Linked DNA regions of Macaca mulatta. The protein of the gene in region 1 purifies or fractionates together with the protein of each later gene. This does not show direct contact. Links are inferred from orthologs where the notes say so. Each region holds a gene or a part of one and is shown in the gene's direction. Other genes may lie near its edges.

Region 1 (3,190 bases):
AGGCAGAAGGAAAGCAATGGTTCCTGGGGAGTGCAGAGAGAACACTTCAGCAGCTGCTGCTGGTGCTAAATTGTCACTTCTGATGTGGTGTGACAGTTACAGTGGCTGAAATATGTTAGAGAAACCCACGTTACTGGACTAAATCTAGATCATTAGAGAGCAGTATTATACCCACTTGTTTGTTATCAACAGGGTTTGGTCACAAACGATGTGACTTGTTTTTGTTTTTGTTAACCTGATGTAGTATAAATACATTAAGAGTGTTTGAATTTGTAGCTGACACTGAGCTTCTTAACACTCCCACCTTTCTACTCATGGTAGGTCCTTTTCGTGTAACATAGAAGCTGTAATTCTGATTTCCCTCTGAACAGGGAAAATTACTGTTATAACGTTTTTCAAAGACCCAACACAATGAAGATGGAATATGGACATATTTAAATATTGGGTTTTTGAATCTGAAAATAGGAAAAATACAGGAAACTTTTGAACTTCCTTTAAAAAATTGACAAATTTTGACTGTGAGATACAATTTTAGCTTTTTTTTTTTTTTAAGTCTCACTCTGTTGCCCAGGCTGGAGTGCAATGCTGCGATCTTGGCTCACTGCAACCTCTGCCTCCCAGGTGTAAACAATTCTCTGCCTCAGCCTCCGAAGTAGCTGGGATTACAGGTACCTGCCACCATGTCCAGGTAATTTTTGTAATTTTAGTAGAGATGGGGTTTCACCATCTTGGCCAGGCAGGTCTTGAACTCCTGACCTTGTGATCTGCCCACCTGGGCCTTCCAAAGTGCTGGGCTTACAGGCATGAGCCACTGCACCCAGCCAATTTTAGCATTTTTTTTAGTAGCTATTTGAGCTTTCCTTAAGGCGAGACATGTACAGATAATAAATCATGATTTTTGAGTTTCCTGAGGTCTGTTGTCTAGTAAATGGCATGGGCTATAAACAGACAACTAAGGAAGTGAAAAAGACGGGAGAAGAGGGCAAAGGATGAATAAAGTGCTGGGTTGAAAGTTAACCAAACTTGAGTTACAGCTGAAACCTCGAAGGTACAAATCTGTGCCCAATGGCATATGCAGAATATTTATAAGCTTTTTTTGTGCTTCTGGAATGGGAGAGGAGTGATCTGAATTTTAGTTTTGTTCTGGTCGTGACATGTAGTGTGTTGATACTTCCATCTGGATAGCTGAATTGGTATAATTGAGTTTTAAATGAAAAAGAATTGGTTAAACTAAAATATTTGCAAATATCACCTGATTTTAGGGAAATTTCAAGAAACAATAAACAAGTCATCAGACTAATAATAAAATACTGATTTTCTCTGGATAATTTATGGCTAAAGAACATGATTTTCATTATGGCATAATTGAAGTACACTTCCAATGGGAAATATTTGAATAAACTAACATTTTTGCCCTCTCTGAACTTTCTAACAACTGAAAATGTTCTCACCTGGGGGGCAATGATGAAAAACATTAGTTAATACTGTTCCCCCACTCCTTACCTATAGTATCAGGAACAAAAATACCACCAAATATGTGATGTCATATTTTCAGTGTTACTGAATATTACTTTTTTAGCAGGAAAAAACATTGAATTTATAAAATTTATTTATTTTCTCAATAGATTAGCAAAAGGCTTGAGCAAAATTTGGACTAAATTACTTTGCATTAGATTTCTGGCCTTTAAGAAAATTAGAATAGTTTTCACTTACTTAAATGCCCACTACATGGAAATTCCTTTTTGAAATGGTAGCAATAACAGAAAAAATGATCAGTTCATTACATAGTATGTATTAAGTGAGGGCATTTGAATTGCCAACTTCCTATAATCTCTATAGAAATTTTAGTGCCTGTAATCACTAAGTTGAGTGTGGGCTCACTAGATATTTATGTTCCTTTCTTTGAGCTTATTACCTTCAGTTTTTCTTTAAAAAAAAAATCAAAAGAGCAGTTGAAGAAAAGTGGAGGAGATAAGTTCCAGTTGGCTATGCAGTTTTGAAACAGATTTATCTGAATTTTCCATTACTATATTTGTCAGTTATGAATTTATTTTAGAATAAAAGCCTTGCCTAAAAATAAATTGATAAGACATAAGCTATATATTTGAGCAAATAAGTTTTGCTACAATTCCCCAGTTTCTTGCAAGCTAACCATTACTTTTAATCTTTGGTGATGTTTACATTGATATCAGACCTACATCAACAAATATATTTTAGGTTTGCTTCCCAAACCAAATTTTGCTCGATAAATATTAGGACAGAAAATGAGCACAAGATGGCTATGAAAGAATGCATAAAAATAGGCTTCCAAAAATCAGCATTTTTTTCCAAATTTTGAAAAGTAAAAAAACATAAGAAAAAAATTTGTCTTAGAAATAGAAGAGAGTGGAAAGTGAAAATGAACTTTAAGTTTAAGAGACCAGAGGGCCCATAGATACTCTAAAAATTCATAGACAAAGAAAATATTTGTGCATGCATTATTTAAGGAAGAACTCTCAGCAAACATTTTATAGCCCTAAACTTTTTCATGTACTTTGTCCAGAATCTAACTTCAATATAATCATGATGTCTTAGAAACTTTCTAAGCAATACTTAATTAAGATACACTTCTAATAGGACAAGTTGCTTTTAGCCTCTTTGTAAGAGGCTAAAATATCTCCAATGCTCTCCTTTGAGATATTTACCATGAGCCAATTACACAGATGATTTTAGATCTGATGAGAACAAAATAAGAGGGAATTCTGTAAAATCAGAAGGCGATTGACTACAAAATTAGCCAAACAAGAATCAAATTTTACATTAAAGACCACAAGAAATGTATAATAAATCCACTGTTATTTATGAAGGCACACACAAAATTGAAAAGGACTGATTATAAAATTATGAAGTCACACAATATACAAAACGAATAAATATTTGTTATTTTAGTATAGCTGAAAAGATACAAATATTATTCTGACTTGTGACTTTATGCTCATTCAGATCACTAAACTTTACATACCATTCGTCCTTAATAAAAGTTTGTTGTTGTTATCAAATGCTTTTAAAAAATGTAATTAATGTCTTAAAAGTGTGCAATTATCAGTTGTGAAATAGGATAAAACACAAAGTCATGTAAGATGTGTTTTCTCAATTGTTATCCAAGGCTGAGAACTACCCTATCCGAGCTATTGTTCTCTTCATTGGTTCT
Region 2 (3,829 bases), on another chromosome or scaffold:
GCAACCTCTGCCTCCTGGGTTCAAGCCATTCTCCCGCCTCAGCCTCCAGAGTAGCTGGGATTACAGGTGTGTTCCACCATGCCCAGCTAATTTTTGTATTTTTAGTAGAGATGGGGTTTCACCGTGTTGACCAGGCTGGTCTCAAACTCCTGACCTCAGGTGATCCACCTGTCTTGGCCTCCCAAAGTGCTGGAATTACAGGCATGAGCTACCATGCCTGACTTTTTTTTTTTTTTGAGACAAAGTCTCGCTCTTTCGCCTAGGCTGGAGTGCAGTGGCCACAATCTTGGGTCACTGCAACCTCAGCCTCCTGGGTTCAAGCAGTTCTCCTGCCTCTGCCTCCTGAGTAGCTAGGATTACAGGCATGTGCCACCATGCCCGGTTAATTTTTGTATTTTTTTGTAGAGACTAGGTTTTACCATGTTGGCCAGGCTGGTCCTGACCTCCTGACTTAAAGTGATCCACCTGCCTGGCCTCCCAAAGTGCTGGGGTAACAGGCGTGAGCTATCGCGCCTGGCCTGAGAAATCTCATTCTTACTCCTACTCCTTTGTACCACACTATCTCCATCCTGTAGGTAGCCATTTCTATTAATTTCTTGTTTATTCTTATGTGTTTCTTTCATTCTTTTTCTTTCTTTTTTTTTTTTTTTTTTTTGAGACAATCTTGCTCTGTTGCCCAGACTGGAGTGTAGTGGCACAATCTTAGCTCCCTGCAACCTCCGCCTCCTGGGTTCAAGTGATTTTGATGACGCAGCCACCTAAGTAGTTGGGATTACACCACCGTGCCCAGCTAATTTTTGTATTTTTAGTAGGGATGGGGTTTCACCATGTTGTCCAGGCTAATCTCAAACTCTTGACCTCAAGGGATCTGCCTGCCTCGGCCTCCCAAAGTGCTGGGATTATAGGCATGAGCCACCATGCCCAGCCCTATGTTTCTTTTTACAAAAATAAGCAAATTTATATTTTTATTACTATTTTCCTTTTATTTTTACACATCAAGTAGAACATTAAATATATTTCTTTGTAATTTTTTTTCACTTACCTAAATCTTTTAGTGATCTCTCTCATCTTTTTAATCAGCTGGATAGCATTCTATCATGTGAATATTTCATAACTTCTATATACTGTCACCAGCAGGTAGCGATTTAGTTGTGTCCAGTATTTTAAAATGATACATAATGCCTCCATGAATGTAGTAACCTTTTGCATATATTGTTTTGTGCTTTGGGATAACACTACCTCATATTCAAAACTGTGTCATTACATGTGTCTTTAAAATTACATGTGTCTTTTTATTTTTATTTTTATTTTTTTTGAGTCAGAGTTTCACTCTTGTTGCCCAGGCTGGAGTGCAGTGGCGTGATCTCAGCTCACCGCAACCTCTGCCTCCCAGGTTAAAGCAATTCTCCTGCCTCAGCCTCCCCAGTAGGTGGGATTATAGGTGCCCGCCACCACGCCTGGCTAATTTTTGTATTTTTAGTAGGGACGGGGTTTCACCGTGTTGGCCAGGCTGGTCTCGAACTCCTGACCTCAGGTGATCCTCTCACCTCAGCCTCCCAAAATGCTGGGATTACAGACGTGAGCCACTGTGCCTGGCTATCTTTTTTTTTTTTTTTTTTTAATTGCTGCATAGTAGCCCGGCACGGTGGCTCATGCCTGTAATCCCAGCACTTCGGGAGGCAGAGGTGGGCAGATCACGAGGTCAGGAGACGGATACCATCCTGGCGAACAGGGTGAAACCCTGTCTCTACTAAAAATACAAAAAAAATTAGCCTGGCATGGTGGCGGGCACCTGTAGTCCCAGCTACTTGAGAGGCTGAAGCAGGAGAAGGGCGTGAACCTGGGACGTGGAGCTTGCAGTGAGCCGAGATTGTGCCACTGTACTCCAGCCTGGGCGACAGAGTGAGACTCTGTCTCAAAAACAAAAAAGCAAACAAACAAACAAAACAAACAAATTGCTGCATGGTATCCCATTGCATGAATAGTAACAGCAATTTTTGCAATGCATAGTATTCCATTGTATGAATAGTAATGTAACACAATTTGTTTATACATTTTTATGATTAAAAAGCAAAATGGTTTTTGGTAGCTATTCAGTTATTGTTACTTAATATATGCAATTCGATAGGCCAGTCTTTCAAAATAGAAGATATACCAGATAGGTCGGGCGTGGTGGCTCACGCCTGTAATCCCAGCACTTTGGGAGGATCACCTGAGGTGGGTGGATCACCTGAGGTTAGGAATTTGAAACCAGCCTGACCAAAATGGAGAAGCCCCATCTCTACTAAAAATACAAAATTAGCCGAGCGTGGTGGCGCATTCCTGTAATCCCAGCTTCTCAGGAGGCTGAGGCAGGAGAATTGCTTGAACCTGGGAGGCGAAGGTTGCAGTGAGGCAAGATCACGCCATTGCACTCCAGCCTGGGCAACAAGAGCAAACATATGCAAGGTAAACAAAAAGACCTTTGTGTTGAGTTGGTTGATTATGTGGTTATTTCACCCATCATATTTCTTATAGGGAATGGGTAAATTCGTTTCTTGGGTTTCTTTCAACATTTAGATGAAGTCTGACGTGGAACATGAGATCTGATTTTACTGGTGTAACTCGTTATTTGTCCCCTTGCCTCCCTTTCCAATGGACTATTTTAGAAGAAATGGAGCTGTCACCCACATCAAGATTCAGAACACTGGTGATTACTATGACCTGTATGGAGGGGAGAAATTTGCCACTTTGGCAGAGTTGGTCCAGTATTACATGGAACATCACGGGCAATTAAAAGAGAAGAATGGAGATGTTATTGAGCTTAAATATCCTCTGAACTGTGCAGATCCTACCTCTGAAAGGTCAGTAACATTTTAGTGACCACAAAGTCTGCTGCTCCCTTGTGCCCTATGTGTCAGAAATGCATGACTGAGGTCTGTGTATGACTTTCTGACTCCAAAGGCTTGTGACTGTTTTTTGAGCTGTAATCTTTAAAGAATTATTAAAGTGAGACTAATAGCATCAAATTATTTTCAGAGTACCTTTTTCTTGCAAAAGTTTTAATCAGTGTTACTTACACTCATCCTATGGGGATTGCATAGCATTCCTGCATATACTTGGTTACATGTATTAGTTTTAAGACTTATTGAACTTTGGCGGATAATCTTTGAGAGTTATTAGAAGAAAACAAATGATAATGGAGACACCAAAATAGCAGCAGTTTTCTATGGTGGCTCTCGACCAGTTATTCAGCAGTGCCACCAACAGATGTCAGTTTAAGCTCAGAAGTGGAAAAGCAGAGAGCTCAGAGGGTCAGCTTTTTCATCAATTCTTTTAATGTTATCTCCACAATTATGTGAGAGTGACCTTACTTAGAGAGAATTGTGTTATTTTCAAGATCTGTCCCCCTGTATTGGAACTAGCCTGATGAAAGCATGGGCTTGACTTATTTATTGATTGTATTTGTTTTGTACACTCCCAGTCTCCTCTCTGACTTGGTGCAAATTCAGGATCTCTTAGTTTGTATATTTTGTGTCTTCAGGTATGATTTTATTAGCTTATACCTTTATGTCAGTGCTATTATGTGCTGATAATTTGTTTCTCTAGCTACCACTATAGCTTCAGGCAAAAGACTGTCAGCCAACTCTGTACAGTTTATTTCTAAATTTTACTGTTTTCAGTTGAGTGTGGATGAAAAATAACTCAAAGTTTATTCGTTTGATGATGAGCCATTAACACCACCTGCCATGATAGTGCTTGCTTTCTGACCAAGATCCTGAGGGAAAAAGCCACTTTATTAATAGAACTAGGTTAAAATGCTTCCCATAGTAACATGGAGCAGTATTGT

What was found.
Region 2: the proteins of THEMIS (region 1) and PTPN11 purify together in Homo sapiens (co-immunoprecipitation; 3 studies listed by BioGRID and IntAct, counting the BioPlex papers as one, with this or other methods). This does not show direct contact. The link is inferred for Macaca mulatta from reciprocal best matches to the Homo sapiens genes THEMIS and PTPN11.

What each region holds. Positions count from the first base shown.
Region 1 is NC_133409.1:32,845,061-32,848,250, reverse strand, and holds the end of THEMIS (protein THEMIS), read left to right. Parts: intron 1-553; coding exon 554-763; 3' UTR 764-2,363; downstream 2,364-3,190.
Region 2 is NC_133416.1:119,689,560-119,693,388, forward strand, and holds part of PTPN11 (tyrosine-protein phosphatase non-receptor type 11), read left to right. Parts: intron 1-2,648; coding exon 2,649-2,843; intron 2,844-3,829. UniProt on the Homo sapiens protein: Acts downstream of various receptor and cytoplasmic protein tyrosine kinases to participate in the signal transduction from the cell surface to the nucleus. Positively regulates MAPK signal transduction pathway. Dephosphorylates GAB1, ARHGAP35 and EGFR.